Nothobranchius furzeri: one gene and its partners. The protein of the gene in region 1 interacts with the protein of each later gene in a pairwise test. Links are inferred from orthologs where the notes say so. Each region holds a gene or a part of one and is shown in the gene's direction. Other genes may lie near its edges.

Region 1 (10,802 bases):
GAAAATACTTTTGTTCTGTTTTACTTTGTAATTTCAAATGTGATACATTGTGTCACGTTATACTAGATGATAAAAATAGTTACTCATTTAAGTAAAATATTTGCTGAAAATGGTCAAAGTCTAGCAACAGCTTATTAATTTTACTTCACTGCAAAACATTTCAGTAGATTCAATTCAGACAACACTGTAATTTGTAATGCTAAACTATTTATTAGAATTGTACCACAAGTCATGACATGTTTGCCCAAAACAAACAAAAGAACAACAAAGAAAAAAAAGTTCTAAAAATGATCACAGCCTTTGAAGAGGAGTGGACCAACATTCCACAGGCCACAATTGACAATCTGATAAACTTTATGTGAAGAAGATGTGTTGCACTGCATGAGGCAAATGGTGAGCACACCAGATACTGACCGGTTCTGAGTCCCCAGACCCCAAATAAAGCAAAAAACTGCATATTCCAGGGTGACCTTTTATTGTGGGCAGTACAGGGAGTGTAGAATTATTAGGCAAATGAGTATTTTGTCCACATCATCCTCTTCATGCATGCTGTCTTAATCCAAGCTGTATAGGCTCGAAAGCCTACTACCAATTAAGCGTATTAGGTGATGTGCATCTCTGTAATGAGAAGGGGTGTGGTCTAATGACATCAACACCCTATATCAGGTGTGCATAATTATTAGGCAACTTCCTTTCCTTTGGAAAAATGGGTCAAAAGAAGGTCTTGACAGGATCAGAAAAGTCAAAAATAGAGAGATATCTTGCAGAGGGATGCAGCAGTCTTAAAATTGCTAAGCTTCTGAAGTGTGATCATCAAACAATCAAGCGTTTCATTCAAAATAGTCAACAGGGTCGCAAGAAGCGTGTGGACAAACCAAGGCGCAAAATAACTGCCCATGAACTGAGAAAAGTCAAGCGTGCAGCTGCCAAGGTGCCACTTGCCACCAGTTTGGCCGTATTTCAGAGCTGCAACATCACTGGAGTGCCCAAAAGCACAAGGTGTGCAATACTCAGAGACATGGCCAAGGTAAGAAAGGCTGAAAGACGACCACCACTGAGCAAGACACACAAGCTGAAACGTCAAGACTGGGCCAAGAAATACCCCAAGACTGATTTTTCTAAGGTTTTATGGACTGATGAAATGAGAGTGAATCTTGATGGGCCAGATGGATGGGCCCGTGGCTGGATTGGTGAAGGGCAGAGAGTTCCAGTCCGACTCAGACGCCAGCAAGGTGGAGGTGGAGTACTGGTTTGGGCTGGTATCATCAAAGTTGAGCTTGTGGGGCCTTTTCGGGTTGAGGATGGAGTCAAGCTCAACTCCCAGTCCTACTGCCAGTTTCTGGAAGACACCTTCTTCAAGCAGTGGTACAGGAAGAAGTCTGCATCCTTCAAGAAAAACATGATTTTCATGCAGGACAATGCTCCATCACACGCGTCCAAGTACTCCACAGCGTAGCTGGCAAGAAAGGGTATAAAAGAAGAAAAACTAATGACATGGCCTTCTTGTTCACCTGATTTGAACCCCAATGCGAACCTGTGGTCCATCATCAAATGTGAGATTTACAAGGAGGGAAAACAGTACACCTCTCTGAACAGTGTCTGGGAGGCTGTGGTTGCTGCTGCACGCAATGTTGATGGTGAACAGATCAAAACACTGACAGAATCCATGGATGGCAGGCTTTCGAGTGTCCTTGCAAAGAAAGGTGGCTACATTGGTCGCTGATTTGTTTTTGAATGTCAGAAATGTATATTTGTGAATGTGGAGATGTTATATTGGTTTCACTGGTAAAAATAAATAAATGAAATGGGTATATATTTGTTTTTGTTAAGTTGCCAAATAATTATGCACAGTAATAGTCACCTGCACACACAGATATCCCCCTAAAATAGCTAAAACTAAAAACAAACTAAAAACTACTTCCAAAAACATTCAGCTTTGATATTAATGAGTTGTTTGGGTTCATTGAGAACACGGTTGTTCAATAATAAAATTATTCCTCAAAAATACAACTTGCCTAATAATTCTGCACTCCCTGTATAAGGTACACCTGTGCACTACTCATGATGTCAGATAAGCATCTTGATGTGGCACACCTGTGAGGTGGGATGGATTATCTCAGCAAAACACAGCTGCTCACTATCACACATTTAGACTGATTTGTGAACAATGTTTGAGAGAAATGGTAATATTGTATATCTGGAATGAATGTTAGATCTTTAAGTCCATCTCGTGAAAAATCGGAGCAGAAACAAAGGTGTTGCGTTTATATTTTTTTTGAGTGTATATATATATATATATATATATATATATATATATATACATATACATATACACACACACACACACATATATATATATATATATATATATATATATATATATATATATATATATATATATATGTGTGTGTGTGTGTGTGTATGTGTATACATTTTTTAAATTCCCATTTCACTCTCCACGGGTGGTCTCATCCTTCCAAGCTCAGGTCCTCTACCAGAGGCCTCGGAGCTTGAGGGTTCTGTGTAGTATCTTAGCTGTTCTTAGAGCTGCACTTTTCTGGACTGAGATGTCTCATGCTGTTCCTGTGATCTGCTATAGCCACTCCTCCAGTTTGGGGGTTACTGCCCCGATGACTACGGGCACCATAGATCTCTCTCTCTCTCTCTCTCTCTCTCTCTCTCTCTCTCTCTCTCTCTCTCTCTCTCTCTCTCTCTCTCTCTCTTCTCTCATATATATATATATATATATATATATATATATATATATATATATATACACACACTGTTTTTAAGTAGTTATATTAAGCGCTATATAAAACATATGTTTATTATTATTAGTATTATTATTATTTTACATATTGTTTTTATTTTCCTATTCATGTGTTCATGTGGAGTAGGTATAAGGAAGTGTCATGTGATGTATCTGTACACATGATCTCTGCAGCACTTTGTGGTGATGTTATTGCTATAATAAACAATTGTGCTGGATCAGATTCATTAAACCAATTTACCGTAAATCCTCTAATATTAGCCTGTATTTAATTAACTGCCAGTATCATATTTTGGCCGGTGTCGGAGTCGGCGGACGTGAATAATGGCTGTTTTTTTATTGTGGCTGGGTGGAATGTGGTAACAAGCAAGTACAGGGGGCGGTTGTGTCATCCGTCTCACTTTTGATTTGCCAGTGATAGACCGCGAGGGTAACTTTAACCGTGCGGAGACAAAGAGGAGGCAAAAATTTGATTTCAAGTTCAAAGAGAACGTGCTGATTATGCTGCAGAACACTCTGGGGAGCAGTAGCAGGGGTTGTATGAACTAGTCGACTTCACCGCTCTATAGTGACTTTTTATGCCTGTCATCGACTAGTCGCTGTCACGTGATAATGACCGGCAAGATGCAGTCCATGGAAAAGACAGCAGCCTGCTGTCAGCAGGTGACAAGCTCCTGCGCGTCGGGAGGCAACGCGCTGTGACAGAGCGTCAGTACTGACACCCACCGTAAAACGGACATTTAACCAAATTGTGACGTTTACCCTCTTGCGATTTAATCTTCCCCTCACCCCCATCCTAACCTTAACCAGCTTGCGCATGCAAAGCTCTGATTGTTGACGCGCTCCAGACATCTGTGTCCTGAGCACGGCCACAGTAACATTATCAAATCAGGTGTCGCCACCTCAAAAACTAATTTAACATGCGATTGTTCATGTCGGCTCATTTCCTTTTATGTTTTCTGTCTTTTATTCTTTTATTTGTGCCTGATGCGTTTCGCTGCTGTGGATCGGGGCGCATCACCTGTTTTGTCCTCGGTGATGCACCTAACTGATGTGGCTGGCGAGCAGCGCGCACTCCGCTGTTTTTGCGGTCCGTAGATCTTTTAGAACTGCAGTTCAAAGGTAACTCATAAGGTGAATAAATATGAACCCAGGTAGCAGTTTTTCTTTAGGATTGAGAGGAGATGCAGGAAGATAATAAACAGATACAGGACAGAAAAATAGTCAAATAAAAACAAGTTAGATTTGTACCTGGTGGTTGCAACAAACAGACACCATTGAAGGTAATCAGAAGTGAGGAACAGAAAATGAAATAATTATTTTAATGTTTAGAGCAGCAGGAACTCCGAGAGGCTGCAGGCGCATCAGTGAGTTTGCGGCCGCTGCGCAGGGGGAGGGGGGAGAGGGCTGAAGCAGAAACTACCGTTGTTAAAAGAAATGTGTTTAACTTTGAAAATGTGGGCACAATTTTAATTGTCAAAAACTCCAGCGAACCATTAGTTCATTTTGCTCAAATAGAAATTGAGCCCTGCCTCTAATTCTGGCCCTCCTTCCAATAAAGGCCTGGAGCTTGATGAGCTTGAGTCAAATATAGGCCCGGGCCTGTATTAGAGGATTTACGGTAACTATTTTTGAGACAGAATAGTTTAAATGATTCATACAAATAAAAATGCGAGACAAAACGACAAGTGTTTCAAACTGGTGTGTTGATAGCAATTTGAAATATTTTTCTTTTTCTGATGAAAACTAGACACATCTTCTAGGTTTTAAAAACATGATCCAAAGAATAACTGAATGAACATAATCTAGTAGATATATACTGACATCTAGTGGCCATTACCTGTAGTTACAAACCACCCTCATAAACACGTTCACAAAAAATGTTCAGGAAGCATTTTTCACCTCTGAGGGTCTCTTCCTCAGCTTAGTTTACCAGTTCAACCAAGTTAAACGGCATTCACTTTAATATGCAGTGAGTTGTATACTATTTTTGCCATCTGTTGGTAATAATATGCATAATTGACGCATCATGCGTTAAACACGTGTCCAGCACCAGCCAATCAGACAGAACAAACGGAGCTTTGCATCGTAATTTACGCCGTCTGCGTAGGAGGAGTCGTCAACGTCAACACTGCAGTTCTTCACTAGCAGCTACTGTAGCTGGCTGGCTGCACACCCAAAGTAATCTAAGCAAGCACCGGAGAAAAGGTAAGGATACGTAGCAGAAATGCCTACAAGGAAACGTTAAAAATGAACATTTTGTTTAAGTCATGGATGCATAATTAGCCCCGTGATTGAATGAAAATACATTCATTTGTCGCGTTGCGTTTAAGTACCACCATGACAACAACTGCTGTGATGTGAAGAGGCCTCGTTTTTATTCGCTCTTTGCATAAACTGCAAAATGTATTAGTGTTTAACAACAAAATAGTGGGAACGTTATTTAAGCCTGCCCAGTTGGTGCGTGACTAAATCACGTCGTTTATCGGTTAGATTTCAGAGAGCCTTACATTATTCGTTATTTAGCTTCACTTCACAGCAATATTTCATCTCAAACCAGACTCCAGATGCGACTTGTTTTCAGTTTATTTCCTTTTTATCGCTGAGTTTATCCTTTATTTACACCGTGACTTATTAGCTACCTGTGCTAATATCAATCATGAAAGTGCTAGCATAGCAACGTTAGATCTTGGCTGTGGTAAAATGATGAAATTTATTTAATATATCCATCAGCCTCAGCTCATACAAAACCAAAAGGTTTAACTATAAATACTGAATCATTAATCTTGATTAGTCGGCTGGCGTTCAGTTATTAAACTACCATTGATAGGACTTGTGGCTTTTAGCTTTATGTACATAAACTCATTGGAATCTTCCTTTTACAGAAACAACAGCCAATATTTGCTAAGTTTTTGTATGTACTACTTCTGATGTGAAATATGTATCATTTTAATTAGTTTTTACTCAAGTAACATCATCAAAGTAAGCTTTTCATTATAGATGTTGTGCTATGCGGTAATAATTTGTTAGTTTTATACAACACTCAGCTGTGAGGCATGGCAAATGTGGGACTAGGGCTGCTTGTTTATGGAAAAATAATAATAATAATTGCATCAAGTTTATTCAGGTAAATATTCCATCACGTTAGTTATCTACCAGTTTAATGGAAAAACACTCAAAATATCATGAATGTTGACTCATTTTTAATAAAAATCGATGTTTAAAAAATGTTTAATTTATTAAGGAACTTAAAAATCTGCCTGTAAATAATTAAAAATAAATTATTTCCCTTTTCTGAAGTGTCTCACATGGGAGTAAAGAAAGTCTTTTCTTTGGTTAAGTAGAAACTTTTTGCATATGAACTTTTACGTAAGTAAACTTTAGTTGTATTTACTAGGTTTGGCTGATTGATGATGTTCAGGAATTCGTTTTATCTGCTGTTTCGTAGTTTACATATTTAGTCGTTGGAAGTCCCCGAGGGTGCAACACAGTTAATTTGCTTATAATGTTGTTTTTAAATTTTTTGTTCAAAATAGTCTTTTTGAACCCCTGGCTGTCTTCTGCTGAAAAGTTGTCATACGAAAGTGAGCTAGCATAAGTGCTTTCTGCGTTGATGAGGCTCAACTTTCCAACGCTTACGTTTTCTTGCGTTTTCAATCAATTAAGTTCCAATAAAACTTACTTCAAAGTTGTTTTCTAAATTCATAAACATTGTTTATAGGTTTCATAGATATTGACAAAATATGCAAGTTTCAGCATTCCTTCTACAATTTTGTCTGCATTTTTCACATGAAGGATCTCAACATGAGCATGCTTGCAAAACATTGTGTCAAATAATTGTACTAGTTGTTTATGTCAACTAAATCATTTTGCGATTATTCAGATCCCAAATTACACATTCAATACATTGCATAGAAATGCATTATAATTTGTGTCATATAGTTCTTTTCCTTCCAGATTCAGTTTTTCTCAGTGCTTTAAATTTTTAATAATTCCACAATGAAAATGTAAAAGGTCTACATTTTCATCTAAGTCTAAGACAGACTTGTTTCTATTTTACAGGGCTCTATAAATGAAACACAATGATTATTCTTGCATTGTTTCCTGCATTTGTTAGTTGTGAACTATTTTACATTTGCATTTACATCTCCCCTCCTGTTTTCTTTCCATTCTCTCCACTCAAGGAAAAGGCCATAATGGCAGCGTCGTGCTCCCAACTGGACCCAGATCTAATGAGGGAGGTTCTTGAATGCCCCATCTGCCTGGAGACCTACAATCAGGACCACCTGAGACCTAAACTTTTGCAGTGCGGCCACACAGTGTGTCGACTATGTCTCGAGAAACTCTTGGCTAATACTATTAATGGCGTTCGCTGCCCCTTCTGCAGCAAAGTCTCACGGATGAGCAGCATCTCTCAGCTGGCAGATAATCTAACTGTGCTAAAAATTATAGATTGCACTTTGTCCTGCAGTGCTGCTGCTGCTGCACTAATGTGCAAGTCCTGCTGCAACCGTCTACCAAGACAGTACTGCCACGACTGTTCTACCGTTCTCTGTGAAGTGTGTAAAGGTGAGGGCCACCTGCATGAAGGTCATTCAGTTCAGCCAATTAAGGTGGCTGCTGAGCAGCGTCGTAAAGAACTGGGCGGGAAGCTGGCTGCTCTCCGGGATGTCATGGGTGAAATTCAAAAGAAGAAGACGGCGATTGAAAATATTTCTAAGACCTTGAGACAAAAATATCGGGCAGTTCAGCTGGAGTACAACGCGGCTGAGCAACATCTTCAAGGGGAGCTCAGCAGATCTCGGAGGCTGTTCACAGCCTCGTTGGGAGAAGTGGAAAAACTCAATGCGCAGGTCCTGGAGGAACAAACGTATCTTCTCAACCTCGCAGAAGTAAAAGTGGTGTCACGCTGTGATTATCTGACTGTGCAAGTAAGGCAGAGTGATGTCGCCCTGCTCAAAGATGATGGTGCAGGAAGTGACGATGAAGAGCTAGACCTGAGGGGCAGTTTATCCACACAGTTTCAGCTTCAAGAGCCGGCGCTGGTGAGAATAGAGCAATCAAAACCTCTAGAAGTGGGGCATTTAACCACAAACACTTGCGTCATTAATACAGAGGAAGACAATGGAGGTGCAGAGACTGTATTTGAGAGTGTATCTGGGCCAGGAGGTGCCACAGGAGGTGCTGTAAAGGTTCCGGTGGATCTTTACAGGGATGTCGACATGGTCTCTGCAGTAGAGGAGACGGTATGTGGTTCACCAGGCAGCTTTAAGTCCAAGTCCATGGATGAAGGAGGAGGATCAACTGCTGGAGCAAGTTCAGGACCACCAGTGTGCCAATTTGTAAAGAAGATGGGCTGTAAGGGAGCTCTACCTGGGATGTTTAATTTACCAGTGAGCATCTGTGTGACGCCACAAGGTGATGTACTAGTGGCTGATCGTGGAAATTGCCGTGTCCAGATTTTTAATCGCAAAGGTATCCCACGTGAAATCCGACGTAATGCCAGCATTGACAACTTTGTCCTGAGCTTCTTTGGGGCTGACCTGCCAAATCTAAACCCCTTATCAATTGCTGTGACACCACAAGGCCTGATTGGTGTCACTGACAACTATGATAACTCTGTAAAAGTCTACACAATGGATGGCCACTATGTAGCTAGCCACAAAAACCAACTGATCAAACCATGGGGGATTACTGCCATGCCGTCAGGTCAGTTTGTGGTGTCAGATGTGGAAGGGGGCAAGCTGTGGTGCCTCGCTGTGGACCGCAACGTAGGCGTAGTCAGCTACAACCGATTGTGCTCTGCTGTGCGGCCAAAGTTTGTGACGTGTGACACAGCAGGAACGGTATATTTCACCCAGGGCTTGGCCCTGAACTTTGAGAAGCGGCAGAATGAACCCCACCTGGAGGGTGGCTTCTCCATCAGTTCAGTGGGCACCAATGGCCAGCTTGGCAAACAACTCAGCCATTTCTTCTCAGAGACCGAGGACTTCCGCTGTATCACTGGCATGTGTGTGGATGCCAACGGGGACTTGCTGGTTACAGACAGTGGTAGAAAAGAAATCCTGCAGTTTCCCAAAGAAGGTGGATTTAATATTCTGATCCGAGAAGGGCTGAACTGCCCTGTGGGGGTTGCCACTACCCAGAAAGGGCAGCTGTTAGTACTAGATTGCTGGGACCACTGTGTTAAAGTCTATACATACATTCAAAAGAGGCATTCTTCCACTTAAAAGATGAACTGAACAAGTTCAGTAGGTTTGGTCAGAATTGACCTTTGAGAAAGGAAGCTTTAGTGTAGATTAAATCCAAACAATTGCCTCCCTGGCTTTCATTGTTACACCACATTTGTAAACTCGTATTCCAACTTAAAAACGGGAGAAAACACCAATATGACACCAGGTCCTTTTTATTGGCTGTTTTATTCATCTTTTCGCCTGAATGTGTGTGAAGTAAGTAAACCTGAAGAAACAGTGGCTGATAATATACTTACATATGAAATAAAGCACACTAAGGCTTTTGGCCTGTGAAGCACTTTATTCTCGACACCACTGTGTCCTATCAACGGGTTTCAGTAGCACACTAATGATAATGAAGCTGGCAGCTTTAAACATTTACTTTGTTAGTCTTTAATGACAGAAGTCTAATGAATTATCAATCATTTGCATTTGGCAACATTCAGAGAACGTGCAGAATAGGAAGTACCTTCTAGACGAGTGCTGAACTGTAAAATCATAACCTGAAGGGCTGTGTGATAAATATGGAGCCATGGTGATAGCTGTTTGGGGGTTTGATTTTACATTTGGGTCATGTTGTTTCCTCGTTGGTACAGTTATATTTTATTTATTTTCTTTAACATTTTTAAGGGTTTTTTGGTCACTAAAAGCAATGCGTTTCTTTAAAAATTCCATTTTAGTTTTAGTTCAGCTTTTCAGAAAAAAAAACTGCATTCATTACAAAAACGGAAGCTTTCATTTCTTAAAACAATTCTCACGGTTTCCTGGCAACTTAGGTCCAACTGTATCACGATTGCATTTCTGTTTCTTTGTTGCTATTCTGGAGCTTAAAGCAGGAGGATATATATGGACACTGAAGGTAATTACAAGTTACAAAGGCTGGTTCATTTCTGGTTTAGCTCTGCTTCAGTGAACTTACAAGCACTCGCCTTTACAAGTGAAAAGCTTCTGAATTTAGAAGACAAGATTTTGCTCAACATGAACAGTGTTGGTTAAGGCTACTTACTGTTATTAAGTATGGAAAGAACATGGGATGAATAAAAAAATGTTTCTGCTCCAAAAATGTTTATTTAGTAGAGTACACATCAGTGCAATTGTGTCATGTGTGGCCAGTGATATTAAAGCAATATTTATTTTTTTTACACATTTCCGGGTTTTAGCTTCTCTGTTATCCTTTTAGTAGACAAATGCATCTAAAACCTGGGAAATTGTGCAGGATCCTTGCTTTTCCTTCAGACTTGTGATGAGTGATGTGATGTCAACACTGCCCCTTTTTACAGAAAAACATCCAGGAATGCATGGCACTCATAACTATAGTGACACGGTGTAGTCTGTTTTTTTTGGGATCATTAAACCAAACTGTATCCCTGTTCCTGTCGACGTGATCTCTAGGAGATCCCAGCTGACAGGAGTGTTGGGAATAATGAGTGGAAACTTTAGCATTGCAACACTATTTTTCATTTGCACACAGAGCAACCAGGTGTATCGCACTTTGGATTTATCTGAGATATTTTTCTACTGAATTTCATTCAATTTAGCCTATTTTTGCAGTGAAACGAGGCTCATTAGATGTTACTGGATACATGTATCCTAATGCTCACTGATTTAAAGGAAGATAGATTGGTAGCAGGATGTTAGTAGGGTTTGTAACATTCAATCACACAAAAAAATCTGTCTTCCAGTCTCGTTAGAGCTTAACACACACACACTTGGCTTTTAAAACATACATTTCCTACCTAAAAGCAACAATTTACATGTGAGAATCAAAGTAAAAACAAAGGATAATAGGAATACAGACA
Region 2 (11,059 bases), about 6.1 Mb from region 1:
ATGCACCATCACGCTGGAACAGGGTCCATCTGGACTCACCAGACCCGTTTTAATAAAGCAATGGGCAGTTCTTAACCCAGTTTTAGTTGATTCTGTATCTCCTCAGATGTTTTCTCTGCTTGATGCCAAAGATCTGACCCTTCTCACACAGACTAACATCTTTTCCGTGACCACCAGATGCGTCTTTCCACACGGTTGTTTAAGGAATGAGAAAAAACGCATAGCACAAGTTGGAGTTAAATAACTTGCAGCTGAAAGATAATCACCAATCCAAAAGGAGGCTTGTACCTACGTATTTGCTTTGTTAAATCCAGGTGGTGACTGTTTTGTGGATGGGCGGTGTGTGGTAATAAAATGTTAGTTATAAAAATAAGCTGCTGGAATAGAGCTATAACCTCAGAAGAGCAGTTGATTTTTGTTTTCATTATGAGAAATATGTTAGTGTATGTTAAACGGATTGTCCAAAAAGTCGGGAAGTGAGATGTTGCAAAATTGTTTCTTCTTCTTCTCCTTTTAATGGGGACCCAATAAATGAATTAATTTAATTTAATTGTCCGTTATTTAATCCGTTGGTTCCTGGCAATATTTACAAAGCAACTAAATTAGAAGGACAAATTTATCGAAACTTTTGTAAAATCGCAGCCGGTTTATAAATTGTTCAGCTGCAGATTTCTCATTTCTGAAATAAAATGAAAAATCAAGTGTATGGTTGAAATACATTTCACATGCCTGCAGTGAACATAAAAATATCACTACTGAGACCTCCAATTTTTACTGAACCTTTGCACTAATAAATCAGATCTATAGTTCTAAACAGCCCAGTTGTGGCCTGCTTTAATGCAGAGCAGTAGAACTGTTTCCCATAATGCAAATCTGCTGTTGTGTAATCCTGTTCAGGTCACTGGGAACACAAACCCTCAGTGGCAGAAAGTTACGGTGTGGGCGGATGTGCATCAGTGTAATTAACCTACTTGCAACCTTAATTTTCTTATTTTTCATTATGATGTTGGTTATCTATGGATTGATAGAGTTTAGGCTCTGGTTTAAGCTGGAATAAATATTCTTCTGAGGCTGAACTTTACGATCACAGGCTGTTCTGCTCACAATTGTCTGTGATAACACAGTTGTGTTTAACCCTCTCAGACTCAAACCAAGTTTTGATAAGAGGACGAACAACTAAGTCCTTCAGGGGTACTTCTGAGTTAAATAATGTCCATGAAATACGTGTGTGGAATAACCAGGTAGGTAGGTTTTAACATTGCTAATCTGCAACGCCTGCCTCCAGAGGGTTAATTGTGAAGTCACTTGATATGTGGTACATTTTCTGATTATTAAAGATTTCATAGTTTAAAAGAACAATATCTAGGCCACTAACTGGGTTTTTATCTTCATCAATATAATATTTTATAAAACCCACTGCATTTTTTTATTCTTTTTCTTTTCCCACCTTCTAGGTAAAAAAAAAAGTGGTTCCAATGGAAGCGTGCATCAAAACGACCGCCTTGGTCATGTGATGTGTGGTATTGCATTGTGAGTTATGGTGGTGTAATTAGCTAAAAACCACACCATAGGAAATCATTGAAAAACCTGCCAAATCCTCATTGCATTTTGTGTTGTTTGTCTGCTGACTTTGTAGTTGACCTTTGACCTTGAACCTTTATTTACACTTTAAAGGTACAATAACCCAACTAGCATAAATAGGTGGGCCCCATATGGATATGTATGGGCAAGCCAAACGGTTGCCCACAGGTTTTGTCCTCGGTCTCTTTGGTGAGTCCACAGGGGTTTGCCCACAAACTTTTGCCAACATAGGTTTTAACAGGCCCTACATGGGTTTTCAGAGGGACCTAGATGGTTTGACTCATACAAGGGCCTATTCAAATCATTGTGGGCAACACCCTGTGAGGCTACAATAGAAAACCACAGATAAACCCTATTGGCACTCATAAGGCGTACCCGTATATATCCACATGGGGCCACCTATGTAGGCTGGCTGGAAAGTAAAACTTTTACAGTGAATTAATCACAGAACACGCTAAAGTCTCAATCATGTTAGAAGGAAGGTTACACTGAAGCAGATTTCATTATCATCCAGCAGATTGGATGCCAGGCTTTCTTCTTTCTAAAAAAGCTGAAGAGGGATGTAGTCACTGTTAGCTAACACTGCTGCACCAGCATTTGTAATTCGACCACCAGCTGACAAAAAACTTCAGAGTTGTGGACAGTATGTTAGTCAGTAACAGGAGCGACCCAGAAGCTATTTCTTGTACCCCTAAGGAGCAATGGCATCTTTTTGTTTTACTCTAGCAGGCTAGAGGCTATCGTTGAGCTAACATTGCTAATGGGGAATTAGAAGCAAATAGTCAGCTCTAAAAATATCTCAATCTACTTTTTTAATTAACGAAAACTTGATATTACAGGGAAACGTGTTTACCAACTAACTGTGTACCAATCAATCAATCAGATTTTATTTATAAAGTGCTTTTCAAGCAAAGTGTTTTACAAAATGACCCCAAATTCTCATAACAGCATAAAAACATACACACACACAGACATACAGACACACACACACACACGCACACACACACACACACACACACACGCACAGACATACAGACACACACACACACACCCGCACACACACACACACACGCACGCACACACACACACACACACACACACACACGCACGCACACACACACACACACACACACACACACGCACACACACACACACACACGCACACACACACACACACACACACGCACACACGCACACACACACACGCACACACGCACGCACGCACACACACACACACGCACGCACACAGAAACACACACACACACACACATACACACACACACACACACACACACACACACACACAGACATACAGACACACACACACACACATACACACGCACACACGCACGCACGCACACGCACACACACACACGCACACACACACACACACACACACGCAACACACACACACACACACACACACACACACACACACACACACACATCAGTAAAAATTTATATTCGGCTGAGTCCAGATGAGCCAAGTAAGGTAAGGCAAGGAAACGCCATCAGAGGGGCCGTCTGCCCCGACAGCATCCAATTCAATTCAATTCAATTCAATTCAAAAATACTTTATTAATCCCAGAGGGAAATCGATTGCTGTAGTAGCTCAGAATAATAATAATAATCAAGTCATCAAAGAGTTATTGTATATTACAATGGTTGTAAGTAAGTAAGTAAGTAAAGTTTATTTATATAGCGCCTTTCACAGATATAAATCACAAAGTGCTGTACAACATGAGTAAAATCAGGGCAAATACGTCAAACCAAAAAATACATCATAAAAACAATAGCAGTGACAACAATAGTAACCAAAATCAGGAGTAAAAACAAAGTCAAGGTGTGAACAAGAACAAAGCCATCTTTTAGAATATTTAGCGGGGGAAAGCCTGGATGAAAAGGTGAGTTTTAAGATGTTTTTTGAAGACCTCTACAGATTTCAAGAGACAGAGATTTGAAGACAGACTGTTCCAAAGTCTGGGGGCAATAGACTGAAAGGCCCTGTCCCCTTTGGTTTTTAGTCTGGTTCGAGGAACAGCCAGGAGGTTTTCAGATGTGGATCTGAGGTTCCGTGAAGTGGTGTGTGGGGATAAAAACTCAGATAAATAGCTTGGAGCCTGGTTGAGCTCTATAGGTCAGGACTAAAACTTTAAACTGTAACTTGTTGCCAGGAAGGATCTCCAGTTGCAGTCAGTGTTGCAGCGGAACTGAAGAAGCCTCTGACTGAAGACACTCTTCCGTTGTCGGACAGTCTTGTGAAGAGAATGCTCAGGGTTGTCCATAATTTTCTTGATTCTCTGGAGAATCTTTCTTTGCATTATCTCCTCCAGAGGTTCCGAAACTGCCGAAACTCTGTTTGAGTCCTTGAAAGGGCTTGGAGTTCCTCCATCTTGTTGGCCAGTGATCTCACATTGCCCATTATGAACGATGGAAGAGATAGTTTGAATTTCCTTTTCTCTGCCTCCGTTTTGCTCCCGCTCTGCACCCATGCATCTTGCGTTTTAGCTCATTTGGGATTTGTGGCTTCATTTGAGGTATTATTTCAGCCTTTCCAATGTTAATCAGCTGCTCTCGATTGTAAACAGCTTATTGCCATGGTTACGCATCATAACAAATGCTCAAAAAGTGAAAAAAGCTAAAAAAATAGCAGTAAAAATCCTCCAAGCTACAGCACCAGAAACAGAAAAGAAAGTGTCCAAAAAAATACAGTTTTTCTTGAGAAACTAGAAGAAAAAATGCCCAAGAAAAGGCAAAACTTACATATACGAATGCTTATTTGAGCAAATAAATGAAGCTTTATGAAGCTTTATTTCTGGAATTTATTAATTATCATTGTCATTAAATTGAAGTTTGACAGATGACTTGATTATGTCATGAAAATTCAAAGACCATTTAACTTGGACTTGTCTTGGACTTCCACATCACTGACTTTGGACTCGACTTGGACTTGCTTGTCTTTGACTTGAGACTTGACTGAAAAGACTTGCAACTTACTTGTGACTTGCAAAGCAGTGACTTGGTCACACCTCTGTAAGACAGTTTGATTATTATTCGTCACTTTATCATTTCAGGTGCAGACATAAATAACGAAGGCTGCCACACAACTGCAAATACAAAAACTTTTTGCAGGAGTAACCTGTATTTTTATATTTCTGCATTTTAATTTATTTACAATAATTACTTTTATTACCCTGTCTAATTTTCTTTTCATTCTTGTGATGCCCTCAAGTTAGAAATTCAACTATATAAAGATAAAAATCCTAACGATACCACTGTTGTATTTAATAAAGCCGAAGGAACTGAACAGCCCCTGACTTGTCTGGTATAATAGCGCCGCCTGCAGGCCAAACGGTGAATACAGAAACTAAACTCGTTGATTTTTTTCATAGACAGTAAAACATGTTGTAGATTCCAACATCACAAAATATTGCTATTTTGATATAAATAAAGTTAGATACGTAAAATAAATGCATTACCTCTATGCATGATCGACGGACGGCGCCATCTTGGAAGATACCAATGGCTAAATAGGGACTACATATCTGGCGAGAGCCACTCCCGAAATGGCATTGTTTTCCCTCTATTGTGGAATTTGTATATGTTCAAGCATTTGTGAAAGAAGTAGAATTTATTTTAGCCCTCATAAGCTCTCTCTTATAAGCGCCTCGTGATTTACTTTCTTCTTCTTCTAAACGACACCCCCTTTTTTCTGATCACCGTGGTACAGTCGGCCAGTGTCATGGCGCTGCTAGGGAGACTGGCTGGAAAATGTTGTCGGTCTTTACTGTCTGAGCCCTCTAAAGGTCTTTTCTGTGGTGTTTTACAGCCGGTTTGGATTAAGAGCTGCGTTGGAGGTAAGAAATGACGTTAGCAAGTGTCCAGTTTGATCTAATTATCGTTATAATAAGGCGTTCATGTACAAAAATGAGAAGCAAACTAACAACAGTCCTCACGTCAGTGAAGTTCACAAACTAAATATGGGACTGCTTGTAGATTAAAATAATTTAAGATAGGCGTTGACGTGTTTTATTTTGAAATACCTATGTTGACATTTCTGTCTTGCTTGCTTGTAAAGGTCATTTGGTAAAGTAAAGAAGAGTCCGCCTTAAATCGTTTCACATCAAAACAATAGACGTTTTTGAAGTTTGATTTCAAGTTTTGGCATAAACTTGGAAGTGATTTGTTTAAAAATATGAATAAATGTATGTATTTCATTATCAGTGATGGATTATTCCACATTTCTCTCCTGCTTGTAGCCAAGAGACATTTATTGTCTGAAGATGTTGTAAAACTACAAGGTTTCCAGCAAAGTAAGCTGGCTGTGGCCCATCTTTTGACAGGATCAGAAGGTAACAAACCATAAATCCAAGAGCTGAGGATATATGTGATATTATCTTACATCTTTACCTGCATTCCACAGGAAATTACATCGATCTGTTCAAGCAAAAGATGCAAAGAAATGAGCTGATTCTCCGAGATGAGCTGAAGCTGCTCCTTCACTTGTGTCAGACTCCAGAGGAAATGCTGATAGCCAGGGATGCTATCTACAGGTGTTGTGTTGTCACAGAAACAAACTAGGGGAAGCCTTCTTCTCGTCAGGCTCCTGAAATATCTGATTCTTTGATTTACCTTGAAAGGTATAATGCAGAGAACCGTAACTTGTTGTATGGGGATTTCAAGTTTGGCCCTGTCTTCATGAGACTTTGCTACGAGATGGGTCTGGAGGAAATGGCTGCTGCAACAATAACAGATAATGTAAGAATAATAAGAAGTTTGACAAATGGCTGTAAATTATGTGTAAAACAGGAAATATTTTTTACATTTTTTTTGCAGGACATGAAAGGATTTTTCATTGACACGACATCCTTCAACATTGCCGCTGACATGTTGTTTATTAAAGGTTCTTATGAAAGTACGTGGCAGATACATTTGGCACTTTTAACTGTTACAATTGCACGTACATAACTTTTTATATTGTTCGCAGGTGCTATGGAAGTACTAAGAACCATGAGGGACCAACGTGTTCCATTTAACAAAGACACAGTGACGCTGGTGACTGCTATCTGCTATAAGCTGGTAATGCTTTCAAATATTTAATCCAAATTCTTTTAAATAAACTTCTGAAGATGTGAGCTCTTCTATAGTTTATGGTTTTAGGCTTTTGCACCTTGTGTTGTTTTCTTAGAACACTACAGAGTCCTACAAGATCTGCACTGGTCTGATAGAAGAGGAACAAACCAAAGGGCACTTCATCCCCCGACATGCATACTGCTTCGCTGTGGCATTAGCTCTAAGAAGGGTCAGCTGAATCTTTTATGCATGTATTATTTTTTTCTTTTAATTCTTTTAATACAACATATTTTTGTATTTCCCCCCAGAATGACCTACAAAAAGCTCAGTCACTATATTTACAAATTATGAGCTCCAAGGGCAAAATTTGCCAAAATTTTAAGGTAAAATGCAGATTTAAAGGAACCATTGTCAATATTTTCTTCACCTTTTTATGTATGTACTGTTTTTGTCTTTTAGGTTGTAATTCTAACAATGTCAGGAGAAGTCACAGAAGCAGTTTCGTTCCTCTCGGCAGCCATGTTACCTAAAAGCCCAACTTTTGTGAAGAAAATGGAGTTTTCTCAAGAGGTGGTAGGTAAAAAGGTTGATCTTGTTCACGTCTTTAGCTACAAGCAGTGGTGCACCCAGAACATTTTCACATGACCAAATTGGTCCCTGTGGAAACTGTGGGAATGTTTAGCCTGTAGTGGTGTATTGCAGTCCTCCTTTATTATTTTTCATTAAAAAACAAAAGGCCTATGCGTCTGTAGCGGAGGCAAATCGACGATTTTATCTGTTATGACCATGAAGATGTAATATTCTATATAAATATAAAATATTAACCTGCGAGGTCTTTATTGTAATTAATCAGAAGATTCTAGGATTTATTTCAGAAGAAGGTTCTTTTCTTTTTCAGTGATCAACCACACTTCGTGTTACTTCAAGAAAGAGTCAGGTTTATAAAAGTAAGAATTTATTTTTGTTAACAATTTAAAACATGACTAATTAAGGTTGGTTTATGCTTGACGCGTCCGCACGGCTCCGCGCAGCAAAATTGCGTCATTTTAACAACCACGCCCCTCCACCGTGCCTCCGCACGGCCCAAAATTTCCGCAACGCGCACCTAGGAAAATTTCTAACCACGCGGACGGTCCGACGTGGAAAAACATGGCGGACCGGCAAGAACTAGTATGGCAGAGGTTCGTAAATACAGACATTTGTATGATTCAGCTCTCAGAGATCACCGTGATCAACATGTTGTTAATAATTCTTGAAGAGAAATGGCTCGCACTGTCGGAAAAGACGAGAACGCTGTTAAAAATGCTGAAATGCCGTGTTGTAAACAGTAATTTCTACTTCTACTATGGTGTAGTGTTGGATGCATGCCGTAGAGCTCCATGCTGCCCCCTACAGTTTGGGAGAATATTGGCTCACCGCAGAGACGAGCCGCACGAACCATAAACGCTGCAAGTTGTGAAGCGCGTTCCATCCGCGAGCCGCATCACCAAGCGGAAAGTGAATGCGTCAAGCATAAACCAAGCTTTAGTTAACTATTATTTACTGTGAATGGATGGAGCCAAAGGTAAGGTCTGGAACCTATGTGTGGATGTGATATCAGCCAGAGCTTTCTTATCAAAATGAGCTGAGTTCTGGATGTAAAAGAATTTGGTCTGCGTTAAACTATGAAGTTGTTATCGTCAGAAGCACATTCAGGCGCAATCTCTCTGTGCTCTACCTCACCCTGTGATGTCATGGTGGTCTTTTCTGGAGGAAGAGTGGGGAGCCCAATAATTTTTCCAGTGGTGGTTATGGCCCCTTCTGGCCACCTCTTGAGGGTGCCACTGCCTACAAGTAACTTAAATGCAGGGAATGCTCCCATAAGCAGTGTTAGCTTGGTTCTGTAATCCGGTCAGTGGAAAATCACATCAAGTTTGAGAAACATCCAGATTGTTTCATAATCATTCAGAACAAAATGATAATCGACTCCGTGACTTCTCATCGCTGCTTCAGGTGGATTTGCTTCGTTTGCGGAGCGACGGCAGGCCAATTAAAGGGAAAGTAGACGAGATCGTAACTCAGCTGGAAAGAGGCGGTCAAGTGACTCAGCAAACCCTTGATGAGATGCTGTGTCATGCCCCCACTGGGAAGAGGAAACCGGCGCTGTTGGAGGAGGTGAGCAGGAAAAGCCGAAGGACTCTGAGACCTCTTCAGTTCACTTTGTTATCAGAGTGAGTCCTGGACCAAGTCAGAATCGGCCGACCTGTATGTTCATCGTGAGCTGATACGGACCGTCAGGGCTCTTCTTGTTGCCTCATTTCTATTATCAGTGTTCTAGATTCACTTCTGAAGCAAGCACAAAGATGTAGAGGAGAAAAACGCACTAGAATGACCATTTTATTTTCCTTCTACATGATAAAACTTCCACACCCTTTACAACAGAGTATCAGCTGTAACTAACTTATATCTAAGCTGCCCTTAAAGAAATCTGACTAAGTTCACACTTGTGTCATTTAAAGTTGTTGGCAGGTACTTTATTTAAATTGCATATGTAAATCTAAGGTAGCATATAGTCTTGAGTGGTGTTGGTAATCTGCAGATACATTATCAACCTGAACACCCACAGTCTGCAGGCATGTCTTTGGACTCGTGGCTTTCCTGACACAACTAAAAATGGTCCCTGGAAGAAGAGAAACATCATGTTAGATGTGCTTGCTGATAAATGTCAGGAGTCCTTTTCTGAAACTGTGTTTGAACAGACTCTGGGAGTGTAAATGAGAGATGTGTGAGACGACGTATGAAAGGTTTAGTAATAAAAACAAAAGAAAAAGAATAAAGGAATGCTTTTGTTTATTTCATGTTGTGCACTCAATTTGAAGTCATTATCTTAAAGATCTATTTAGTTTTTCAAAGAGAGAAGAGGGATATTTATTTATACAAAAATTAATGAAATTGAGTCCAAGTTTAGGTTTTTTGATGTTTTCAAATCTTAAACCTTATTTTTTTATCTTCCACATTTAATTCACTTTCTTTTGTTGCACAAATGTTTAATGCAGCTATCTGGAGGACATTAAGTTTATAGGTGCACCTTAAACAACCAAGTAAATATTTTATTTTGGATATTTTTCTATTTCTCATTCTGAAACACATAACTCAGTGATTTCTGAAAGTCCTGTATGAGGTATGTTGGGCAGTGGGTAGATATCCTTTAATACAAATAGCTGTTATTTAACTTTTAAGAATATTATGAATGTGGTTTTATAATTACCGGTATAGCATTGTGCTTTGTGTACAGTTTCTAAACAAGTGAGCATTTTGACCACATCTTTTTTATGCATATATCCAACCCCATACTGTGGATGCTATTTAAGTATATTTCTTTCCTTTTGAAATATAAGTTGCTTTTATTTCTAAATTTCAAGATATTATTCCCAGTTTAACTAAATTTCATTTTACATTTAGTTGTGTGATGATTACACACACACACACACACACACTTGTCTTGTATTTGTTGTGAGGACCGTCGTCCATTCATTCTACTGACTGGATTGTGCCTAACCATACCCAGTCTATTCCTAACCCTAACCTTAACTTAAACTTAGGCCCTGTCCACACGTAGCCGGGGATCTGCCAAAACGTAGATATTTTCCTACGTTTTGGCCTGTCATCCACACGAAAACTGAGTTTTTTCACACGAAAACGGATCTTTTTAAAAACTCCGGCCAAAGTGAAGATCTGCGTTTTCTCCGTTTTGGGTGTCTGCGTGTGGACAGACACAAAACCGGAGTTTTAAGGTCCGCAACGTCACTTTCCGCGACACAAAAATGCTGACATCACGTGTGCGACATGTGTTTACACTATCCGGCATCACGGAAGCCTTCAGAGCTGCGCTCTGTCACTACCCGATCCATCAATTGTCCAAGCGCTTTCTGCTTGTTTGTTTTTGCAAGCGGAATTACTGCTCCTTGCGGAAGACCACAGACGAAGGATGAGGTTAAGAACGGGGGAAGTACTGCCGCCTACAGGTCTGGCATGTCCTTAACGTATTTATCTGGGTACGTGTGGACAGTTTGTTTTTAAAACGCGGTGGTGTGGATGCAAGTTTTTGGAGGGGCGGATATTCGTTTTTAAAAAAACCCGGCTACGTGTGGACTAGGCCTTAATTCACACCATACCTGAAACTGATGAATAAAGCTATGTAACACTAACCAAAGTGATAGCCAGGGAAAATGTCCTCAGTTTGCAGGTAAAAAGCTTGTCATTGGTCCTCACTTTGATACATAGACAAATACACACACACGCACGTGTTCATCTGTGATTTTTTTACACACAATTCCTTTGTAAAAATAAATCTGATTTGTTGTTAGAGACTAACAATTGTTCACAAAATCTATCAATATTGGGAAGTTTTCATCCCATTCTCTTA
Region 3 (10,975 bases), on another chromosome or scaffold:
AATGCCCTAGAAAGTTTATTTAACATGTTTATTTAAAGTATTATTTTTCATGTTTTCAATACATTTTATAGCATTTAAAGGTGCACAGAATTAATCATTTTTTATGTTTGAGTAATTTTGAATAGGGTTATTTGATAAGTTGTGTTTAAGAGCGCTGTGACGTCACTTCCTGTCTCTCGTAGCTTCAGACTTTAGTGATGCGAACGGACAAATTTGTGCAAATTAAGAACATTTGAGAAGAAAGTTAAGTGTTTTGAAGTCTACCGGTTTGTCTACTAGCAGGCCAAAGTGGTATGTTTATTCTTTATTTATAAACTCTGTATGTTAGCAAACTTAAGGCAACTAACTTGTTAATTTGTACATGATTTATGCTTTTTCATTAGTTCTATGGTGTTCATGTGGTGTAAAGATAAAGAAGATGCAAGACCGCATTAAACTTCAGTAAAAGGAACGCTCGTGTCTCTCGTGTTTGTGAACAAGCCGGCACACCTACCTACGCTGACAACCACGGGCTACATCTCACCTGGGACCTGCTCTACAACCGTCACGAAGGGATACAACCCCCCCACACGAGGGATCACCTCGACCGCATCGCACGCCAGGACCCACGGCCCCACCACTGCAGTGTCTACCACAACATCGGAGCTCTCCACACCACCTTCTCAGGCTTCCACCTCGCCTGAGACTTGCAGTCCGGCCACCGCATGAGAATATGGAGAGAAATGGGTAGTCAAACTTCTAACCGCACATCTTGACCAAACCATCAATCCACAGAATGCAATTCGGCTTCAGATCCCATCATTCTACAGAAACAGCCTTGTGCATATTAATAGAGAACCTGAAAAGCTTTCTGGACGAGTCACTGCGTCGGGGCAGTCTTTCTAGATCTAAAGAAAGCTTTCGACTTAGTTAACCATCGCATGCTATTATCCAGGCTGACTCAATTTAACATCTCCAACCGAGCTCTTCAATGGTTTGCCTCCTACCTAAGTGAACGTAAACAGTACGTGGCCTTAGATGGAGCAAAATCCACACATCTGGACTGCGTGCTGGATCAGCACGGATTGGGATGGATTAATTACACCATTATTGGATCCAGAGGGGTTGGAGACCTAAAGAATTCTAAGGCAGAGAGGAAATTATCTCTGTCTGTCCCCAAAACAATTCTTATCTGAATCTGGTGCCCTTGAGTCTGTGAGGCTGAAGTGAAAACACCCCCCTCAGAAGAAATTTGGAATGCTGCCGTCGCTATGGAAACTCTTTCCCCCTATCCCAGCCTGGGCGGGACTGACCGGTGAAGGCCGTGGAACTGTATCTAGGAGTCAATGTGCCCTCTAACCCATTATCTCCCTCCCCTATCCAAATGGAGGTGATGAGCGCTGCTCCATGCGGCTACACGCACTGAAGTGAGGAGAGTCCCAACCCTACCTCCCCACCTAGCGGGCACTTATGTTGTGTAATGTCTGAAGTCTGTGTGCATATCTGTCTGAGGTGTTTTTTTGCATAGGAAAGCCACCCTCTCTGTTGAGGGTAACTGTGAAGTGCCTTTTTTCCCTCCCCCTGACTCTATCCTCATATAAACCCTCTTGATCTGTTACGGTAGCGCGACTCGGGTTGCGAATCACCACAGTCACCAATTCTTGTCAAGTGTCTATGTATGCATGTATGTATGTCTGATCTCAGAATTGTGTGTACTGAAACTCTAATTTCCCTCTGGGATTAATAAAGTATTTTTGAATTTGAACTGAATTTGACTTTGAGACCGGCGTTCCCCAAGGATCGGTTCTTGGACCAATATTATTCTCTCTCCATCAACAACCTACCTGACGTCTGCAAAAATGTCTACACACAAATGTATGCGGACGATGTCATCATATACCTGCAAGCTAACAACATCGAACAGGCTGGTAATGACCTAACAGTAGCTCCATCATTAATCTACGACTGGTTAAATGAATCTTGTCTCCTACTAAACACCTCCAAAACTGTATGCATGTACTTCACAAAACGTTGTTTAAAACAACAAAAATCAAATGTAATTTTGAAAGGAAAACGCTTAAATCAACAAAAATCAAATGCATTTCTGCTCAAGTTCAATAATGAAAACTTTAACCACATCAGGAACAATCTAGACACAAAGACTGCCAAGATCTATTTTCACGCGATGATCAGCTCCCACTTAGAATACAGCCTGACAACTTGGTCGCTCAACTCCCCAACTACACTAAAACCGGTCATAACACAATAAAAAAGAAGCCTAAAGCTGCTTGATAAAAAACCCAAGGCTCACCACCACTGCCACGTGTTGAAAAAGCATAAACTCCTCAGCTTAGACAATCTAATCAAACTCAAAAACTTGTGTCTAACATACAAGGTACTACACTCTCTCGCTCCACCTCCGCTAAGCGACTTTATTAGATACAATGGCACCTCAAAAAGAGCCACCCGCACATCATCACGCGGGGACTTAGTGATCCCCTACAGAAAAACAACATTTGGGCAGAAAGTCTTCTCAGTACAGGGTGACCACCAGTGGAACAGCCTCCCCCAATCCATTGGAAAATGTTCCACCTTCGCCACATTCAAATCGGAAACCAAAAAATGGCTCTGGTCAAATCAGCTATGTAACCACGGTGCAAAAACATAATCATGAAACCAAGATATTGTCACTACAAATGCAATTCCTGTATGCTAATAGTGTGTACTCCTTACACAAAATCTGTAATAATGCATGCTAAAAATGTGAACTATGCTATCCTCACCGATGGGCCTACTACCGTACTGTATCCCTCAGTATTTATCACTGCTCACTTAAATGATGCCATTGGACCACTTTTTAGTATCCCTGGACCACTTTCTGAATGTCAGAGAACCCAGAATCTCATATTTGTGTCTTATTGACGGCTTTTTTAAATTTATTTATTTCCTTGTCAACAAACTCTTTGTTAACGTCACTGGACTTTAATGTGACAACCATCTCAGGACTACAGATGGAAATTAGCCCTAGGCCACAATCTGGCGTGTTTACATTCATACTATCCCTACATGTATGTTTCATTAACATGCACTGTCCCAAATAAAATATTCCTTCCTTCATTCATTCCAAGCCCCCACAATGCAGCTCAGAAATTGGTCTCAACCCGGAAGTACCAAAACTTGCAGTTCCACCCTCATCCGCTGGGGGCTGGTGTCGGAAGCGAGCAAATCCTCATTGACTCCCATGTTAAAAATACCAATTTCACAGCAGAAATAAACATGTTTACAGCCTGGTACCAAAACATGTTTTTGGTTTAAATGATCTAGTTTACACTCATGACAACTCTGAGGGGGGTGAATTTTTTCTCACTCTTCTGTTTAAGTGTATTAAAAGCCTAAAATTCTGTATAATTAATGAGCATCAGACCCACGTGACCACAGAGCTAGCTCCGTGGAAAGGCCTCAGTAGAGCCTCGGTCTGGCCTGGAAACTGTTCCGGGATTTTGAGTCTCTGTGTTTGTGTATTCTGTTTTGGATATTATTTGTGCAATTGTTGGACAAAATGACTTGCTGTGGCATTAATTGCACTAATAGAGCGTCCAAGGAGTCTCCACTTCATTTTTTTCGGTAAGTAAAATTATATTTATGTATTTTAGGTCACTGCCCAGCTGAGCTTAGATTTTAACATGTACTGTTTAACCGTGAAATTTAAATGTAATAGGGTAAAACCCATTTTACACAATGCTGCATTTTAGAAAATGGGTTGAAATATAACATGTTGGTGGAGCTGGGTTCCGACTATCGGCTTGTGGAGCTCTCGGGAGACCTCTGTTTTCCACCCGGTTCTCTCCTCCCCGCAGGTCGCGGCTTCTGTGTGCTGCGTGGGCTGCCGCCTTGTGGAGCTCTGGGATGGAAACCTTTCCATCCAGTTCTCCACAGCGGAAGCTCTGCACATCTCAGACCGCAGCGGCGCTTGTCTGCTGTGCGGCTACCGGCTTGTGGTGCTCTGGGATAGAAACCTTTCCACCCGGTTCTCCCCAGCAGCAGCTCTGCACATCTCAGACCGCAGCGGCCCTTGTCTGCTGTGCGGCTGCCAGCTTGTGGAGCTCTCGGAGACCTCTGTGTTCCACCCGGTTTTACCCAGCGGTCAGCCCGGCGTATCTCTGACTCAGATGCTCTGGTGTTGTGCACAGTTAACTCCGGTTGTAGCTAGGTTGCTACCTCCGTTAGCTTAGCTCCCACCTCCGCATTAGCTTTGGGTTAGCTTCAGGTTAGCTTGTAGCTAGTTCGACCGGGTGTCCAGTTGATCCCAGCCTTACAGCCCCACCCTCAGCTCCACCTCTCTTCCCTTTTGTGGAATTGTCTGGGCTTGACGGAACCTGTGACACGGTCAAAATGGCGGTGGTGGCCACCTCCCATTTATCTTCAAAAATATGTTATTGGAGCCTATGGAAACCCATTGTCCATATATGTATGTCGACGATTCATTCCTTACTGTGAAGTCCAGTGTCCTGAGAAATCCCCACTTCTTCTCCCTGTGGACCACATTCGGATTTATTCCTGAGAGAATAAAAACGTTTTTCATCTTTTTTCAGGGACTTTATAAACTCACCATTTCCGGTCTGCGCGCATCTGCCACATGTTTACGTCGGCCGAGTAGGCTGGGTCCTTCGAAGGATGCACACAGCGGGGATTCTCCGTTTGGGACTCCGGTTCCGACGCTCCTCCTTCCATTTTCATTTCCGGGGCAGCAGAACGAAGCGAGATCAAGTAATAACTAGCATAAACAAGTAATCACCCGTTTCTAACGTGTTTACGTTAGCACGGAAACTGCTAGCAGAAATTCTTAATTCCAAATGAAAACAAGTTTATTGGAATTTTGAAGGTCTTCCTGCTCTTTATTAGTGAATTGTGATACTCAAGCTCACAATCATGAAGTATTTTAATTTAATTTTGAGTTGAATAAAGATATTGTTTATCCCATCATGAATAATCTGGGTTTTTAGCATTTAATCTATTTCGACACACAAAAAAACCCATCCATCATTGTTTTATGGATTAATTTGGATAAAAATGAAGCTATACATCTCACGTATAATATGAATATATTTAATTAAAACTTTATTTTAACAAAATTTACCAAAATATTCAACGACTTAATTTGCTTTTGTTGCGAAGGTCGGAAGTGGGTGTTAGCGGCTTTTGCTCTGAAGGTTGAGACCGGAAACGGTAGGATTGCTGGAGTAAAAATCCGCTACTAGCTTAACCAGCTACCAATGATTTTAGACGAGCTGTGAGCTGTAGGTAATGTGTGCGCGTGTTTTCGAAACCTTTTTTACTCTTAAATGAAAAAAATATTTTCTCTACATCCGGTCAGTGCTTGTAGAGATGCTTGTTGGTCCAACCAACATTAATTTAAGGAGCTAACGTGAGTGTGGAAACAACTTCTACAAAGTGCTTGATTTTCGAAATACTGTTGGTCTTAACTGTTGTTAGATACCGGATACTACCTGGTGCAGTTGGTTAAATAGTGGTCTAACTGGTGCTTAACCTCAGCTTAACCCACAACTTTTGATCATACGCTAACTGGCTAACTGATGTACATTAACATTTCCTTTTGGGCTTTAAAATAGCTATGTGGTTATTTGTGCTGTCAGAGACGTAGTTTGGTGAAATAAGAGGCACAGCTTCTGTTTTGTTAACCAACATCAGGTAGCCTTTAATACTAGAAAGTCCAAGTCCACCATCACCTAACGATGCTAACAAGTTGTGTAGCTTCAACAGGTAATGTTTGGCTGCAGAGTAACGGGATGCACGCAGGTGCTCTCGTTTACGTTGATTGGGTCTGTCTCAGCATGTAGCACGTGAGCGACTTAAAATAACGAGCTGTGCTAGCTAGTGGGCTAACTGAGAACATTTGGACCACTTTCCATCTTCCTGTCTTCTCTTCGGTTTTGATACAGTTGAACTATTCAGGAAAAGGGACAGCTGACTGCATCCACATGTAGCATCGCTACAGTGGTAAACATACAGCTGCCATGTTTAGCCAAGTGTTTGAGACTGAGTGAGAACAGGAGACAGCCACAGAAAGCTTAGTGAAAAAGGAGGTCATTGTCACTGCAAAGTCCTAATCTCAAGGCAGCAAACACGTGACCTTGGTGTAATGCTGGCTTTCATTCCTAAATGTCACACAAATTAAACTTAACCCTAACGAAGATATAAAAGCTGCTGCTTAGTACTGCACAATATTAGATAAACCATACAAGTAAGTAATTTGTGTAGCACTTTTCACAGGATAAAAACCACAAAGTGCTTCACAACAAGAGAGATACCGCTCTAGATGATGTCTCTTCCACCATACCAGTTTATTTATCGAGCACATTTAAAAACTGCATGTGAGCTGACCAAAACGCCTCACAGGTTATAGTAATTATACAAATCCAACAATTCATTAGAACAAAGCAAGCCTTTAGCTAGATGAGAGAAGGGGAGCGGACTTCTAAAATATCACAGATGCAGCATCACCTCACAGCACAAACTTTTTAAAGTCCAAAATGTGAACAATCTTTTCTAATTCAGCTTTACACTCCAAGATTTGCAGACTGTAGATATTTCTTAGCTGAAGTAAACAAAATATGTGTTTTAATAATACATATTCTGACTGTATTTGTAACTTGAGATAAAGCTATAATTTTTACTCAAGTTTGTTTTTTATTATCAAAACACTTAATTGCAGTATGGTGGATTGTTGCTTCATTTATCAAATGATCAATAAGATGTGATGCTCCATATAAATATTATGAATTATCAATCTGCTTGGTCTTTGAATTTTTTAATATAATATTAACTTAGGTTTGGACTATTCAGGGAAACACACACCATATTATTTCAGACAGTCGAGGAAATGGAATTAAATTCATTTTAATAAACTATCTTCCTAAACTAGTGATTAAACATGACAAATTATGAATGACATGATGGTTGTAGAAACAGACAATGAATTAAGTGATGGAACGTAAGTTAGGTGTTTGTAGCAAAACCTTAAGTATCTGAGATCTTGTGATGTCACGGTTCTAAAATCAGTATGACTGTATGGTTTAATAAGCTATCGATTATTCATGAAAAACCATCCGACGCCAGTGTGCAGGTATATAATACCGGTTTTGGACGGTCTCTCTCCGTGGTCAGGAGAAGAGGCAGCCAGATTGATGATGACACTCACTGGATGCAGTGGCTACTGGAATCTCAGAGTCGCAGCTCTCTTTGAATACAGATATCACCGGCCATGAGATGCTTGGGTCTGCTAGTTGGACGTTCCACGTCTGAGGAGCTGTAGTGTCTGGTACCACTCGCAAGCGTTGCAGAAAAGCTTTCACCTTGAGGTCAAAAGAGGATGGTCCCAAGTGCTTGCTCACCCGGTCGGCCTAACCGAGTAAGCTGGCTGTGAACTCGTTAGCTCATGAAGTGAACTCTATTTTTATTAGCTACTCTTTACAAATTTAAACAAATCAGAATTAAAACACTTTGAATCTGAACATATTGTTTATTCAACAAAATATGATTATATAACACTTATAAAATTATATAGTCATTTATGAGCCAGGGAAAGTAGACTTTATTCAAAGAGAATAGATGAGAAGTTCTGCGTCTTGTATTTCTATTGTGTACACTGATACTGCTCTAACTATTTACTATATATAGTGCAGCCATAGTACTGAGTACACACAGCACTGTGTAAAAGTCCTGAACACACTTTCCTACCTGTTACCTTCAAGTAACAGTCCTCTTCACCTTCCAAAGTTCTGGTTTTATTTATTATTCACTTATTTATACCTTTTCACCACTTACCTACCTGTACCTGACCATTTCAGAGGGTTTGCTAAACCAAACTTCTCAACTAAATCCTTCAAGCATGAAAAACTCCAGAACTCAAAACATCATTTTCTTCACTCTCAGTGCAGCACTTGGCAAAAAGACAGTTTTATTAGTGTGTTGCTGTATTACAGTAATTATGTTACAAAAATTAGCTTGAAAATTAGAAGCGCTGTAGGATATTTAGGTAACCGAGTTTGTTTGTTTATTTATTTATTTTTAAAAGAAAACTTGCAGTTTGCTCATCTGAGGTTTTAAACATTTAAAGGATTCTGTTCATTATCTTTATGGACAGAATTTCTAGGTGCAGCCGTGGTGTGGAGTGTGTCGAGTTTGGTGGCAGGAGAATCTCGTCTCTGCTTTTTGCGGTTGATGTGGTCCTCCTAGCTTCATCCAGCTCTGACCTTCAGCTCTTGCTGGGTAGGTTCGCGGCCGAGTGGATGGCTGCTTATACTGAGCCAGGATCCTCTGGAGGTTTCTTCCTGTTAAAAAGGAGTTTTCCTCTCCACAGTCGCTACATGCTTGCTTAGTATGAAGATTGCTGTAAAGACTCTGACACTAGTCAGTGACTCGATGCAACCTGCTGGGTTCCTTATACAGGAAACTTTTTCTTGATTTGGCTTAATGAACTGTGGTCTCATTTATCAAAAATTGTGCAGAATCCGTACTAAAACCGTACTTAAGCTCAGCTAAAACATGTACTTACGCCAAGTAGGTTTGTGATCCATCATACATGGAATACGCACAGCTGCACGCAATCTCCGCTTCATAAATCAGAGACTAACGAGAATGTTTCTCAGCTGCATTTTAGTCACATCCCGCCCTCACCACGCCCACTTTCTGCCTTAAATAGACAATGCAAAGTGCCTTGTGGATCTCATGCATATACATAAGCCGGCTGTTGCAGCATTTCAATCACGACCGCAGGTCAAGGAAGCGCTACTTCACAAGCAGAAGTTGAGGTATCTGTGGGTGAGGTGGAGAAATGAAAGGAAGTGCTTTTGCAAAATAAATAAGAGAAAATCCACGGAATGGCACAGCGTTGCTGAAGCCGTCAATGCTGAGTTCTTCAGAGAGATCTGTAACTGATATATAAAAAAAAAAGGTCCAATCCGGATTTGATCCCCAGACTCCCGGGTGAAAGTCACACGCGTTAACCAGTCAGCCAAACAGAGATCCCTCCTGTACAAGTAGCCAGGGCGCATGATCAATCGGGTCACAGTGACAGGACACACACTGTCACAGACGCATGACATTCTGTCTCAACCTGTCCTCCTGCTGATATTCAGCATTCCGTATTCTGCGCTTCAGGCTGTGTGTGTGTGTGTGTGCAGGTGCACATGTGTGTGAGTGTGCGTGTGGGGGGTCTTGTTCTGTGTGAAAACGAAGCAGTACAAGTGATAATGCTGTAGGATTTCATCATTTTATCCTTCTCAGCAGCCAGGAAGCGTAAGCCAGGTCCTTAGTCAACTTAAAGTTGCGCACATTTTTCCGCTAAGTTTTCTTTCATAAATCCCAAAGTTTGCGTGGAAAGTTGCTTACGCAGTTTTCTGACCCCGTTTTGTGCGTAAGCAAGCTTGATAAATGAGACCCCTGACCTGTAATGGAGTGTTTACTGTGTGAAGGTCCTCGAGACGACTCTTGTCATGATTTATGTAAATAAACTTGAATTGAACTTGAATTAAATTTAGAGCCCAAACGACACATTTCTGTCTTTCCAACTCTGATCTGGCAACAGAAAAGTAATTCTTATAATAATTATTATTTCTATAATCATAATACTAATTAATTCTTGCCTGGACTGCAGTAGTACGCTACAGGAGATCCTACAAGCAGAAATCAAACAGTGAGATGCAAAGTGAGGTGTACAGTAGGCCAATAAATAATAAAATCAGGTGCACACTGAGCTTCTCCTGCCTTTCATGCATGGACTTTAATTCACTTGTCAGCAGCAATAATTAAGTACAAATAATGATAATTAGTTCATTTAAATGTTTGTTGTTAATTGCATCCTGCTGAGGCCATTTCCTCTCCTCTGTGTTCTGAGCAAAGACAAGACTGTAGAAGTGGGTGGGGTGTAAATTGGAATTAGACGGGCCTTTATTTTGAAAGGGCAGTCCTAATCACATCCACCCCTCTGCTGCCCTCTCCTGCGGTGTTTATTTGCACCATCACCCCGCGGCCAAGTTTCTCGCTGCCGTGACTCATCTGTTGGGCTAATCTGTTGGCGGCGGGGTCGGCGGTGCCGTGTCTGGTCGGCGAGAGTGAAACTCTATCTGAGAAGGTCAGAGGTGAGACCACCACAGCTTTAAAGTGTGCAGGCTGTAAATGGCTTCTGAGCCTGGGAGCCGGGGGATCAACAGGGTGTAAATGAAAAGAGAGGGTGTGTTATAAGAGATTGTGTTTGGATGTTCTTCATCTGCTGGACCCGGTCTGTGTCCCCTGATTTTAGCTAAGCTTCAGCCGGGAGGCTTTCATGGAGGTCATCAAGAAGGAGGATGGTGGAGAAGAAAGCAGTGAGTGTCAGCCTGCAGGACAGTTAGCTAATTGTGTGTGTGTGTGTGTGTGTGTGTGTGTGTGTGTGTGTGTGTGTGTGTGTTAGGGTTAGATAGGTATTTTCCATCTGATGTTTTGACATTAGCTTGTAGCTTAGAACATGTAGATTTATTCTCAGAAAGTGAAGCTCTTGTCTTCAGAGACCTCTGATGTGCTTCAGCTGCTCTTATAAAGAAATCAGACCTACTTGTCTTCCCAGAATAGACTTTCTAATGTTGTTTCCAGCTTCTGTCCCTGAGAGGGAGATGACAAAGGAGGAAGCGTCCGAGCCCGTTGAAGGGGACGCCGTCCGGGGCTGCAGCACCAGACCCACGCCGCACCAGCGGGCCGTCGTCCACCAGGTGGCGTCTGCACCCATGCCCGATGACTGTGGTGAGGATCCAAACTGCCACTAAAGCTGTGATGTTCCTGGTTTCAGGACCTTATGAAATCTGTTCTAGTTCTGTTTTTACACACCAGAATGTGGTAAACGACAACAGATGCTAACATTTACTGAAGTGTTGTCTGAATGCTGGGTGTTTGGATCTTGTTGTGTTTAGTAATCGGATGGCTGCAGCAGACGTTCCACCAC

The links.
Region 2: the proteins of trim32 (region 1) and ptcd2 interact in binary tests that used the Homo sapiens proteins (3 or more experiments, as listed by UniProt). The two-hybrid records come from large-scale screens. The link is inferred for Nothobranchius furzeri from reciprocal best matches to the Homo sapiens genes TRIM32 and PTCD2.
Region 3: the proteins of trim32 (region 1) and CAP-Gly domain-containing linker protein 4 interact in binary tests that used the Homo sapiens proteins (3 or more experiments, as listed by UniProt). The two-hybrid records come from large-scale screens. The link is inferred for Nothobranchius furzeri from reciprocal best matches to the Homo sapiens genes TRIM32 and CLIP4.

What each region holds. Positions count from the first base shown.
Region 1 is NC_091746.1:55,649,410-55,660,211, forward strand, and holds the start of trim32 (E3 ubiquitin-protein ligase TRIM32), read left to right. Parts: upstream 1-4,028; 5' UTR 4,029-4,978; intron 4,979-6,954; 5' UTR 6,955-6,966; coding exon 6,967-9,000; 3' UTR 9,001-10,802. UniProt on the Homo sapiens protein: E3 ubiquitin ligase that plays a role in various biological processes including neural stem cell differentiation, innate immunity, inflammatory resonse and autophagy.
Region 2 is NC_091746.1:61,739,209-61,750,267, forward strand, and holds ptcd2 (pentatricopeptide repeat-containing protein 2, mitochondrial), read left to right. Parts: upstream 1-5,306; 5' UTR 5,307-5,323; coding exon 5,324-5,438; intron 5,439-5,840; coding exon 5,841-5,933; intron 5,934-6,004; coding exon 6,005-6,134; intron 6,135-6,221; coding exon 6,222-6,339; intron 6,340-6,417; coding exon 6,418-6,496; intron 6,497-6,568; coding exon 6,569-6,660; intron 6,661-6,769; coding exon 6,770-6,883; intron 6,884-6,962; coding exon 6,963-7,037; intron 7,038-7,113; coding exon 7,114-7,227; coding exon of another isoform or gene 7,228-7,231; intron 7,232-7,552; coding exon of another isoform or gene 7,553-7,555; exon of another isoform or gene 7,556-7,601; intron 7,602-8,646; coding exon 8,647-8,868; 3' UTR 8,869-9,486; downstream 9,487-11,059. Other genes in the region: cacfd1 (calcium channel flower homolog), read left to right, coding at 10,480-10,688. UniProt on the Homo sapiens protein: Involved in mitochondrial RNA maturation and mitochondrial respiratory chain function.
Region 3 is NC_091758.1:40,949,025-40,959,999, forward strand, and holds the start of CAP-Gly domain-containing linker protein 4, read left to right. Parts: upstream 1-5,222; 5' UTR 5,223-5,404; intron 5,405-5,410; exon of another isoform or gene 5,411-10,300; 5' UTR 10,301-10,324; coding exon 10,325-10,364; intron 10,365-10,629; coding exon 10,630-10,776; intron 10,777-10,975. Other genes in the region: cimip5 (uncharacterized protein C2orf50 homolog), read right to left, coding at 4,472-4,511, 4,589-4,716.